Linked DNA regions of Caenorhabditis elegans. The protein of the gene in region 2 interacts with the protein of the main gene of each other region in a biochemical or structural test. Each region holds a gene or a part of one and is shown on either strand. Other genes may lie near its edges. The genes, in order: cpna-1 and lim-9.

What was found.
Region 1: the proteins of lim-9 (region 2) and cpna-1 interact in far-western blotting, tested with the Caenorhabditis elegans proteins (one study listed by BioGRID).

What each region holds. Positions count from the first base shown.
Region 1 is NC_003280.10:4,184,536-4,190,989, reverse strand, and holds the start of cpna-1 (Copine family protein 1), read right to left. Parts: upstream 4,315-6,454; coding exon 4,060-4,314; intron 4,019-4,059; coding exon 3,867-4,018; intron 3,523-3,866; coding exon 2,842-3,522; intron 2,781-2,841; coding exon 2,592-2,780; intron 2,090-2,591; coding exon 2,024-2,089; intron 2,015-2,023; exon of another isoform or gene 1,955-2,014; coding exon of another isoform or gene 1,628-1,954; intron 1,581-1,627; coding exon of another isoform or gene 1,378-1,580; intron 1,326-1,377; coding exon of another isoform or gene 1,207-1,325; intron 1,085-1,206; coding exon of another isoform or gene 890-1,084; intron 835-889; coding exon of another isoform or gene 716-834; intron 663-715; coding exon of another isoform or gene 361-662; intron 164-360; coding exon of another isoform or gene 1-163. Other genes in the region: mth-2 (GPS domain-containing protein), read left to right, coding at 1-163, 361-662, 716-834, 890-1,084, 1,207-1,325, 1,378-1,580, 1,628-1,954. UniProt on the Caenorhabditis elegans protein: Involved in the assembly of dense bodies and M lines during body wall muscle development.
Region 2 is NC_003279.8:9,216,481-9,223,190, reverse strand, and holds the start of lim-9 (Protein espinas), read left to right. Parts: upstream 1-2,462; coding exon 2,463-2,533; intron 2,534-4,142; coding exon 4,143-4,266; intron 4,267-4,479; coding exon 4,480-4,695; intron 4,696-6,710. Other genes in the region: aspm-1 (Calponin-homology (CH) domain-containing protein), read left to right, coding at 111-481, 530-603, 748-1,184.

The DNA.
Region 1 (6,454 bases), on a different chromosome or scaffold from region 2:
CGTGACACATCTCTATTCGTTGGTCCACAGCAATATCGAACATATACTGGGACAAATAAGCCTATTTCATCTGGAGAAGCCGAGACATATACACCTCCACCGAGGGTGCCGAGATCGGCAGGATTCTATGAAGCTGAGCCATACCAGATGAATGCTACAAGTCGTAAGTGTAATTTTTACTGATGGACTACAAAGAATAAGGGATCTATTGTCACGACAGCGTCACGGCTGCGTCATGTGACCACCCAACATCTACCGGGTACTGCCATACGCTGAGCTTCATCATGTGGCTGGGACAACCCGGAAGCTGTCGGGCGCTACATCAAGACTTACTTTAGAACCATACTATGAAATTTCCAGAGACCGTCCCACTCTCACCGTGTGCTCGACAGACATCCCTCCCACCAACACCTGTGATGAGTGCAACTGTCATGAACAACGGTGTCGCAGTCTCTGTATCAGCAACTTCTGAAGCCACGATGGCACTGCTCCGATTCAATATCTCGACTCTCATGAAACCCCTGCACGGAAATTTAAAAGTAACCTGGTGGGATATTGGAAGGAATGCGTGGGCCGAAGACCGCCAATGTGAGATCGTCTCTGAGTCAGATGGAATTCTGGAAGCAAGATGCACGCATTTGACGGATTTCGCTATTATTGTGGTATGGGTTGCGGTCCTCTTTCGAATATCAAGCTTTTTAATTAAAATTTCCAGGACGCTGCTCTAAACGATCCGAATGTCTGTGACAATGCCCTCATCACTCTTGGCTACGTCGTGAACGGTCTATCGATTGTCTCTCTAGCTTTTCTTACGTTTTTTAGTATCTCTGCCTAGTAAGTTTTGGCTTATTCTTATAGAGAATTGCTGCTGAGAAGTCCAAAATTTTAGTATAAACTCTCTCGCCAACAGCCGACTCTACAGTTATGTCCGGGGTCATAATCTGGCTCGTCGGGACTTTCTTGCTCTTATCTACCATTTTGATCTTCTTCTCTTTTACGTGTTCTTCACAGTGTTCTCAAATCAAGATGTCTCAGGTGATATGTGCACAGCGATGGCAGCTGTGATGTACGCTTTGCTTTTGTGGTGAGTAGGCATTGCCCGCTTCGGGCCCTTCTAGCGTCATACCGGTAGTTCTATGTGTCATGGTAGCGTCACGGCTACGCCACAACCATTCTCACAATTCTAATCAATAATATTCTTTTCAGCTCTCTATTTCTCACAATTTTCCAAGCTCTTCGAAATATCCTCGTTTTCCTGCCAACTCCAGCCTACAGGCTGCTTAACATATGTTTTGGAACAGTGCCAGTTCTCATCACGTCAGTAGGTATGATAATTTTTTTGCCCGAAAATTCTAAACAACCCCCTAAATATTACAGCTCTCCCCTTTATTCTTTCAATATTTCTGCTAGTCTTCACAAAATTCTTCGACCGCCAGGACTGCTTCTGCTGGGTACGACCCGACTACATAGTGGCTGCAATTATCATTCCAGTAACTGTACTTTTACTGAGTACGGTAGTATGCACTAGTTTCATGATCTACAAAGTTTTTTGTGGAATGAAAAGGAAATTTAGTCAAGGGGTAAGTTCTTGCAAGGAAATCTAATAAGTCTGAAATAAAATTTCCAGGGTCACCACTACGATCCAAATGTGATCACGAAGATAGTATCCATAGTTGTAATGCAAATCTCACTAGGTCTTCCATGGATCCTTCAATTCGGAACCCTCTACTCCCCATACACCACCTTCTGGCACTACACCTTCACCATAGTCTTAGGGTCTCAGGGAACAATTTTACTGCTCATTTTCCTCTACAAGCGATATCGAGCTTGGCAAGCTGATAGTACGCTCAAGTCTCGAGGACAGAGCTACTCGAAGAACTCGACAAAACGAACGAAGCTGGTCGAAGAGGAGAACAGTTTAGGATCAAGTACAGATACTTTTAATGAATATTGACCTCAGTGTTTTTTGTGTATATAGGAAGTTATTATAAATAAAAAATATTTTTCTGAAAAAGTAACGTACTTGGTAATCGAAGTGACTTGTGGTGCAGGGACGTCAGCTCGTTTTGGAGCAGTTGGTGTCATTGGTCTAAAAATTTGAAAAATTAGCTTGGTAAAATGCATAGTAGGTACTTATTTGAGCGTGCCTGCCTGCCTGCTCACCTACCAGCTTACCTAGGCCTTCATACCAACCTTCAGCTCATTCTCGCTCAGTGTAGTTTTAACACAATTTTATCAATTTTATTAACCACGAAATGTAAAAAAAGAATCTAAATCTAATTTGGAACTAGGCGCATGTGTAGGCACTTGGTAGGCGTAGGTAGCCTTCAATGCAGGTAGGCAAATCAGAGCAGGCCTAGCATGCCTAACAGGTCGTATAAATATCTCGGAAAAGTTCCCAACATTGTTGCAAACTTGAACAATACTCTTATAGGCAGGCACGCCTTCAAGGCTACCTACCTACCTGCCTGCCTACCTAACTACGAAACTGTGTTTTAGGCATTCACTTTTTTTTGAAAAATTTCCAAATGCTTTGCTCATTTTTTGAACTTTCACTAAAATTTGAACCATAAAAATAGCCTAAAACTTACTGAATCTGTGCTGCTCCACTATGGCTCTCGTAGGAGATGTGAGAAGCTGGTGCAAAGTGATCATAGGCTTTTTGAGACGAATCCAAGTCTGTCGAATCACCTCCAACTTCATGATCCAAAAGCTTCTTCAGACGGTCAGCTTCGAGAAGGGCCTTCTCCTTTTCCCAGTCCTGAAGGGCTCGCTCGTCTCTGGAAATTGAATTTGCTCTTTGTAAATTGAAAACCCAAACTAAGATTAAAAAAAACTCACTGCTCACTGAGCCGCTTCTCCCTTCCCAGCTTCTTTGTTACTGGTTGGAATGCTCCTGAAGCTTGTTGCTCAGCGATCAGAGCTCCAGCCCCGGGAGACAGCTGAGAAATGTCCACGAACTGCTGCTGGTTGTAACGGGCTTGAGATGCTGGGGACAGTTGGGAGAAATCAAAGTATGGTTGCTGTGGATGTGTCTGGATTTGCAGTGGTGATGGTTGCTGGATTGGCTGGAAGACTCCCTGCTGTTGCAGTTGCTGATGAGCTAACTGAGCATGTTGAAGCTGTTGAAGTTGAGCTGGGGTCTTCTGTCCAAGCTGTCCAAGTTGCTCGGAGATCTGATTCATCCGCTGATGAGCTGGAGCATCGTAGATATCAAACTCGTGAAGCAGCTGCTGGTCAGTCGGAGATATCGGAACCGGTTGAACGATTTTGTGTTGGGGTACCGGAGGTGGTTGGTGTTGCTGAGCATAATATTGCTCGGCAGCTGTTTTGAGATGAGGTGGAACATGCTCAAAGTCGTGCCCGAATGCGGATTCTTCCGGTGCAATAGATGGAATTTGCTCGAATTGGGTGGAATCGCGGGATGTTGGAGACAGGTCCATGTTCTTTGTCTCGTGGAGGTGATTGTTGACGGAAGAGAGCACGGTGTCGAACTTCTCTCTGGTGGCGTCGATGGGGTGGCTGAAAATCTGAGATTTTTGACATGCCTATGTGATACCTATTTCGGGCTTTCCACACTTCTGCGTTGCAGCTATGCCTACTCCATACCTGCCTGCCTACGTGCCATTTTCATGCATGCCTCCCTATGTGCAACGTGCCTATACCTGACCCAGGTGTCTCTGCCTACGTGCATTTCTAATGAATATACGTGCCTATCATATTCCTGCTTGCCAACATGTCTAACTACGTGCCTACGCTTGACTTATGTTTGCCTGCCTAGTTCATGCCTACCTAACTACTTCAGGCCTGCCTATTCCATACCTGCTCCCTAATGCCGAAAATGTGATTCTTGTTCTCACACTTACCCTAAATTCAAATCCACCTCCAAGCTCGGGAACTTATTTGCAGCCTGCTCAGCGAACTGATGGACGTTATTTTGAACTGAGTGAGCTTGTTCTTTCAGATATTGGTCGGCTTCACGCATCAGCTCTTCAGCGCTTTCTGGGATGTGTTGCTGCTGAAATTCCTTTTTTTTCAAGATCTATTCTCAACACCTACCACTTGTTCTTTCACATCATGAAGCTTGTCACCGGCCTTGGCCAGGACGCTTTCTACCGAAGTTTGTGGCTCTTCCTTCTCGCCTGACTCCTTCTTATTCTTGTCATCGAGAAGTTTGAAGAAGTAGTAGACGAAGGCTATGGCGGCAAACGTGAGCATGTAGCGGGTGAAGCCGGAGAACACGAGAAAATGCTCCGGCTCCGGGCATTCCTCCCACTCGTCCGGGTCGTACCCGAGACGCGCGTCGAATACCATACCGACTCGCCTGGAAATGGAGAAATTGAGCTAATGGATAAAGGTGATCAAAAATTAAAACAATACAAATTTTTGATAGTTTAGAAGCAGCTGATGGAAGTTAGATGATCAAATAGATAAAAAAGAAACTGGAGAATTTCAGAAATTTGGAAATTTTTGAAGACTTTTTAAAAATCTTAAAAGAGTACCAAAATCTGAAATGTTACTTTTTTAGACACAAAAACCCAAAACTTCCGAATTTTGTTATGAGAAGTTCTGAAACTTTCTCAAAAAAATGGTATAAAGATTCAAAATTTTGGAAAAAGCTTTTTTCAATAGGCTAGTACGCTTTTTTGTGGCCTGCCTGCCTACTTGCCTGCCTATGCCTCTTTTCTGGACATGAGCTCTAGATCAATTTGTGTCTGCCCTAAAAATAATCAGTGAAAAAATAGCGAAATTTTTGAAAATCAACTTGTTCCAATTTTTCCAATTTTAAAGCTTCCTACTTGGAGCCAATTAATACAAAAATTATGAATATTCAAACAATTTTTCAACAAAATTCCAAAAAAAAGACGAAGATCTTTTGATCATTCAAAACCTTCAAAATTTGTGCTCTTTTCTTCAGCACAAAGAACTCTTTTTGTCATTTTTTTCTGCATTTTATACTTGAAAAGCCTTGCTCAAGTTACCAGCTTCCGTCCCCTTCTACAATGTAATGCAGTTGAGGGACGGGACGGGGGACACGGAAAAAATGGCTCTCAAGTCGCGACGATGAGGCAGAAAGCTGGCGGCTCTGCGATGGCAAAACTTGTGAAGAAGAGAAGAGGCAAAACAACAGTGAAAAGCCATGAACTCTTTTGCTGTCAACCAACTCTCTGTGATTTGGGTGGAGTGGTAGTAGTTGAAAGGGATACACAAAATGAGGAAGATATTAAATGGAAAATATTGAGGGAAGAAAAAAACAACATTTGTTGAGCGCCAAAAACATGCGGAACGGCGGTGTTCCAGTAGTTGAAAAAAATAGAATATTTGCAAAAATTGTAGAAAACTTTTGGGAGTTTCCCTTGGCAGGAAAATTGGGAAAATGTTTCAGACGAAAGTCCTGAAATCTTACAAATCCCAAAAATCATTGTTATCCTAACCTAAAAGCTACCGTTCGCAATGAGAACATTGTGCCAAATTTTGATGGCAATTACGTGGGTTGTCCCATTTCGGTTTGATCTACGTAGATCTACAAAAAATGCGGGAGTTGAGACGCAGAGATCTCAACTGAGTTCGCAAGGTTCAGAACTTGCTGACGTCACATTTTTGAGCATAAAATTCCCGCATTTTTTGTAGATCAAAGCGTAATGGGAAAACCTGAAACCACATGGGCAAGGTGTATTCACAGCCCTTTTAAGAACATAGCAAAACTAATGTTGGTTTGTACTAAAAAATATTTTCTGGGACGGTTTTTTTTAATTTTTCAAATAGTTCAGAAAACTTTCTAACAGAAAAAGTTCATCATATTAAAGTTGAAATTTCAAAACAAAAAACTATTTTTCAAAAATACTTTCACATCTAGCCGAATTGATATGGGAAATGAAAATATTTCAATTTGAAAAAAATACGTGCACTATTTTAAATATAGCTAAAAATATAGTTTATAAAAATGAAAATTTTTCTCTAACAAAAGTTATTAAAAAGTTACGAAATTCGAGAGAAAGTTTTTAAAAATCTTGAGCAAAAAAATGTTGCTTTCAGAATTTTGTATACCTTCCTAGAGATCTGGACAAAACCTAGGAAAAAAAGTAAATTTTCACCGTTTCAGAAAATATCTGAAGTTATGCTTTAAACTCTTCAAACTGGAAAAATAAATTAGGAAAAATTTCCAAATTTTCGTCAATCAATTGGCATTAATCCACTTTGAAAGATTATATCTTGATTACTTTTTAGATTATCAAAAACAGCTAAACTATAAAAATATAGTTCAAGGTTTGACACGTGGTTTCAGACTGTCCCATCACAGTTTGATCTACAAAAATGCGGGAGTTTTTTGTTAAAAAATGTGACGTCAGCGTCTCAACTCCCGCATTTTTTGTAGATCTACGTAAATCAAACCAAAATAAGACACCCTGACACCACGTGGTTTTAATCTATACTTTTTCAGCTTAACATTTTT
Region 2 (6,710 bases):
TCTCAAATGGAAGCACAAAAAAATCCGAGAAAAACCAGTAAAATTAGCTGTAAAAACGGATATCTCTAAAAAGTGGTCAGGGCCTGGTTAAAAATGGTTAAAAGTTTCAGGCGAGAAAACTGGGAAACATCGAGAGAAATGCGTTAGCTGTTCGTGATGGCGGGGAGGATTCGTCCGACAGTAGATCAGATGCTGGGCACGATGTTGCTATCCTTCACGGTGACGACAGTCAACTCTTCGAAAATTCAATGCAATTGGATCAGAAATCTCAATTGCAAAATGATGAGACTCAAATTCTTGAGAATAAAAAGAAGGCAGCTGTTGTCATTCAGAAAATGATACGTGGTTTCATTGCACGGCGTAAATTCCAAATGGAAATTAGCAATATTCGCAATCGCATGATCCAATACAATCACATATTGGCGCAAGAAGACGAGCAAATTGGTATAGAAGAAATGGAGGATAAATCAGTCGAGGCAAAGTGAGAACTCTTTTTTTTTTAAATATATTTAAAAAAATTGATTTTCAGGCTAAAGAAATGCGCTCTTCATGGACTCACAAATGATAACCTTCACGTCGTTCATGTTGCTGCAACTGTCATCGGTATGTCGCAAATGAAAATTACGAAGAAGCTGCTTTTTGATCTGAAAGTCATAGAAACCAAAAGTTTATGAATATGCCGCCATGGATGATTTTCTTCGTCAATTGCAAAACCATACAACACATAGAAATGTTCATATTTTGCAGACCGAGTCACCGATCTTGTTCCATCACTTTTGGAAAAGCTTGTCGTCGAACTGAATGGCATCAAGTCGATCACTGATGTTTTGATTGTGGCGGATCGAGGATTCTCTTATACGAGCATTCTTCATCCATTATTGAATGTTCTCGAAAAATTATTCACGAAGATTCCCGAAGAAGTCACCAATTCGCATATTCTCCCTCACTTGAAGATTTTGTCGCCTCGCTTGATGCTACTGATGCTGAAGCACTCGGAAGTCAAGGAATTGTTTATTCCTATCATTAACACCTTGACTTCAATTGCTAGAAGATTCCCAGACAAAAAGCAATCGAGTTTTTCTTCATCAAGCTACTCAATCAAGCAGTCGCTCAAAAAAGTCAAGGATCAGGAGTGTCGGAATAAATTGGTCAGATTGGAAAGCATATGCGAAGATATGCTCTAAATTAGTCTCTGTTAAATATTAAATTCATCCCACCGTTTTGTGTATCATATCGTGAAAAAATACACACGGTTTAATTATTTTTATGTGAATATTTACCAATAAGATCAGTCAACCTGATGCTTATTTGGATTTTTTGGTATTTCATATTTGTTTCTTAAAGTCTGTTGTGAAGTAAAAACTTGATTTTAAATACTACCGTTTTTTTTAGAGTATGATGAATTTAGCTACTTTTAGAAATTCAAGAAGTCTGCTATTTTTCTCTGTTCCCTCTTTAAAATTTTTGAGTTTTGCACTTGTTGCGTAGCAGATGGCTCATCCGATTTGCAAATAGTTACTCGTCTTACTCTCCGTTCGCATTACACAGTAACCCTCCGACCATCTTTTTCTGCTCTTTTTTGTACTTTGTCACGTCATTCGGCTCCTGCTCCGCCTACTCAAAATTTTTATGGTTTTTTTCGAAAGTTTGAGAGAAGTAGTACTCGTTTTTCCGAATTTTTAAAATATTGTTCATTAGTTTTTATTAATTCCAGCTATATGCAGTGCCGGCCAAAAGTTGGTGATTTTTCAACAACAAAAAAAAATCAAAAGTAGCTACTTAAGTAGTAATTTTAAAAAACTTACCAGACAGGATTTTCATTATAACTTTGTCTAGATTTTGCTTTCCTCTGGAAAAAAAGTTGAAGCGGCTGACATCTACAGGAATAGATTTGTATATGTTCTCTTGCAACACATGTTTTTGAATTCTAAAGGCGCGTATGGGTCTCGCCACGTGGGAAACGAGTTTCTGTAACTCATGTCGGTTTACGGGTCACTAAAAGTTGTATCATCATTTTCAAAAATAGAAATTACTGACAAGATTTATTTAGAAAAAATAATTGTGCAATAGCGGCCCGTACATTAATACGAGTTACAGTAACCCGTTGTTCGAATGGCGAGACCATTGCACGTCTACGTAATAACAATTTGGCAGCAATTTAGACAATATTATCAATGTTTTGTCTTTACACAGTTTTTTAATTATTAGTTTTTGAGGTATTGTTTGGTTGAAAAATCACGAGAATAAGTCAAAGACGCATATAATTTGGCCGATATTGTGCTCGCATTTTCCCGATTTTCGTATTCAAGAAAATGGTCAGAAGATCATTTGGAATAGAAGTAGAAAATCTTCAAAATTTTTCTTTTTCTTTTATTTTATTCTATACAAATAGACACTTGAACTAATATAATAAGTACTTAACAGAAGTAGAACTCTTTTCAACTTGGCCCCCTCTCTGTAATATGTCTGACAATGTTGGTCCAAGAGAATTGTCAAATGCATTCAAATATCTTCTTGCCTATCAATTAGATTCGTAAGTTTTTTTTTCACAAAATGGAAAATTGATAGTTATGGATAGATCTCTGAAAAAAAACATCTTAAAATAGTAGATAATACTTTCCACCCAATTTTTTTGAATTCATAAACTTATAAAGGCATATTAGTAGCTTTTGTAAAATGTGTTCGAGAAGTTATTTATTCAATAAAAATGTGTAAAAAACGGTAAACCATTTAGATACCAAAAAAACCAGATCTTGCCATTTTTCTTCTAAAAGACACGACAAAAATTAGGTATTGTCAAGTGTGGGTTACTGTATCTGGATGTTTCTCTCTCTCGGGTATGACCTTTTGTCCAATCATGGAAAGTTCACCAAACTTATTCTGGAGTTATGCATAATTTATTTGTAATATTAAAACTTCAGGAGAGTCATGGTAATAAACTTAAAGTAGAAGAGTTCAAAATTCTCTTCAAAAAAAGTGTTTAGAAACCAGTAAGAACCCTTTCAAACTCTACATTTCTTCCTTCTAAACCCCGCTGTAATCCTTCTGTGATCAATTTTTCAAAATGACTACAAGTGACATAACTGCCAGTTTTAAGGCACACTTTTCTGCAATCTTCCGGAAGAAGATGTTCGAGACTTATTTGTTCTTTCAAATCGACTGGCCAATATCATTTATACAATTTAATGTGGAACGTCGCCTATAAGAAAATTGTTTGAAACCAATTAATTCGTTGCTAAAATGTAAAAAGCTTTGAAAGATATTTTTATTTGCAGTCGAAAAGTGGAAATTTTTTTACCAATAAATTTCCGTCAAAATTTAGCGATTCACCAATACTTTGACAGAAATTTTTGAACGACCTAAAGTTTTTTGAAGCGTTTAATTATTTTTTAAAGTCATGTTGGAGTGTATTTGTAGCACATATCCCGGAGTACTTTTTGGGGTACACAATTTATATTTCTCGATATATAACTATGCAACACAAATAGAGTACCTAATCAATTGAAGATCAATTGATATATATGCCATATTCGGGAAGTGTGTGTGAATCTCTGAGTCTCTCAAATCCAAATGATATTTCTCATTTCATAATATATTTTCTCATTATCTTGTTGTCATTATCCACTATCTTCATAATCCAATCGTCTCTTCCTTCAAAAAGTGAAAATAAACATAAAATTGGCAATTTTCGATATGATCATGAAGTGACCACACCCTGGCTTTCCTTTAATAGTGACACACAATTTGAGAAATTAAATGTTTTTTGAACGAATTTCTCAAATTTCTGTTCTTGTTTTTGAACCCTCGTGATTTTCATTTTATTTATTGATTTTCAATTTCAAAACTAGTCGATTTTTTTATTGCATTGCAAAAATAATTTCTCCAATTAAAAACAAATTACCACTTGCAAATTAAATTATAATTCTGATAGAACATTTTTGGCTTTGAATTAAAAACTAGAAAATATTTTGACACTTTGAAAGTAATATTGCCTATTTCCTTTTTCAATTTCATACCTATTTTGAGAGAGCTTACGATAAGTTTTAGTCGAAAATTGAAAGTTAATTGCAAACAGCAGAAACATGTTTTAATGTTTAGCCATTCACTTTATTGGAAAATGTTTTAAATTATTTAATTTTCAGAATCGCTCAAGACGGAGTAATGCCATCTGCTCATGGAGCTCTTCACAAATTATTGTGCTCGTGTTATTCAAAAAACACCGAAGTGGTTGATATCTATGATATGCCGGAAAATAATAATGCGCAGGTTGGATATTTTCATTCAAAATCACAATACCTGAAACAATGGTTGTTCCATTAAAAGACGTATTGTGTCGGCCATTTCCCTCAAAATCTTGCACGACACATGCTATCCGACTAGACATCATATTGTAGACAACAATTTCAGCTTGTTTAAAAAAAAATTAAAAAAAGTAAAATTTGCTTCGAATTCTTTCTAACTTTTAAATTTTTTAAACAGGAAAAAGAAGATCATTACACAAAAAGAGCAATAGATATCGGAGAAACAAAAAAAAGATTGGAACTTCTTCCACCACCTCCAACATCTTCATCGCCCCGGCCAACATCTTCTAATTCAATTATTCAAAAAAGTGATGGAAAACGAAAAGATCAGAAGAATGAGAAACAAGCATCTCCGATCATCGTGGAAGTTTACGATGACACACCTCAATCAAAGGTACGTATTTATTTCAGTTATTCTCTATGTTATCAGTAATTGCATTTTCTTTTTTATTAAAAAAGAAATCTTTACGTTTTGGCTGGTCTAATAAGCTTCATACTGAATTCAAGCTTCTCCCAAAATTTCTATTCAACTAATTCAAAGTATTGTACTTCCCACTTTAAAAGTACATCTTTTTCTTGCAAACGTTCATTTCCTTATTGCAACATCATTTTCTTTTTCTTGTTCCTTTCTCTGAATCATACTGTCAATTAGTAGTTATCAGTGTCATATCACATGATATCTCAAAAAAGTGTGCCAATTGGAACCCTTTTTTTTTTTGACTTTTCGTTTAATTGATGATACGATTGATCTTTAGTTTGGTGGTTGAACAAATTTTATTTCTTCGATTTTAATTTAGCTAAAAGTAAAGTTTAGTTATCTTGAATGTATACGAAAACATAACGAATGTTAACATGCTAATTCCCAAACTATGTTTTGGAAAATTCAACTTTAAAAAAGCGTGAAAAAAAAAATTCCCACCTTATTCATTATTGACTTCAATAGTAAAAACGTCCGAAAATATTAAGAAAAAATTAAATACTGTGCTCGTATTTCATCAATTTTGGAATTCGAATTTATTTTCTCAGAAATGTGACTCATTGCACGCGACAGAAATACGGTTAAGACAGTAAAACATCTGAAAAGTACTTTTTTTGTTAAAAATATCCGGCTTTTTTGGTGCCATTTTAAGAGTTATATAGATAACGTTTTTTTTTAAACAATATTGGTTTTCACTGAAATTTTCAGAACTAATTAATTTTGTAGTCGAAACATGTTAGGAAAGTTTTGGAAAAAAATTGTTGGAATTGTTCAACAGAAATTTTCAAAAAAGTACATGTTTTCCTGATCATCAACTCTAAGAAAGGTATGTTTATCAAATTAGGAATTTTTTAATTGCAAGAATAAGATTAAAACTTCCGAATCCAAATTTCTAAGAAAATTCTAAGTAACACTTTTTTAATTATTGATACCCGACACCAGTCTCTGTGGTTTGAATAAATATTTTGGCATACTGTAACTTTGAATATGCATTTGTTGATTTTTCCTGTCTATGAAGAAAAAACTCAAACATACAACTAAAGCTTATGGATAAATAAATGAATCTTCAATGTTCAATGTGAACACTTTTACAGAAATGAATAGAAAATGATATCCATGTCATCTGAATCTATTTCTTCAACCCTCACATCTTTACATCTGATCGTGTTCGTACTTAATTTCAAATTCAGATGAATTATATGAAATGACCTTGTCACCTCGTCGTCTTGATGATCATCCCACTTTTTCTCTTTATTCTCACAAGTTTTTCCCATTTTCTCCTATTTTCTCCAGGGTTAGTGATTGATGTTACCTATGCAAAATTGAATGTTTTCGTTTAAAATCATTGAACCCAGTTTGGGCGTTAAAAATGCTAATTTCAAATGTATCTCTGAAACAGTTTCTGAAAGTGAACAGACATAAATTTAAACCGTGAAATCCTATTTTTTGGGAATATGATATCGCCATAATTTTTTATTGAAATTGTGTTAAAACTTCCTAAAACTGATAGTGAGTCTGCCGTGTGTTCGCAGAAGGTGCCACTTTCACATACGTAGCTAAAAACTGAACCGTATTTCAGTTAAAAAAGTCATATTATTATAAAGCTGGATAAGGCTTTTTTCTCGAGTTCAAACTAAACTCACCAATCGGCTAATTCTTCCTTTCAAAATTTGCTAGCAAAATGAGTTGAGTAAATACTGAAAAATCACTCAGTTTAAAAAAAAACAAACATGCTTCTTTGTTCTAATAGATGATTTTGAAAAACGAAAAATATTTATGTGTCAAACTTCTGGCCAGATTTGAATTTCTTGTTTCCCAAATTACTGTATTTTCCAAACGATTTTTCCTATCAAAAACCGCAACATTTTCCGTTTCGACCCGCACCTTCCGCTTGTATTTCGGCTTTTACTATACATTCATTCATGCTCTCA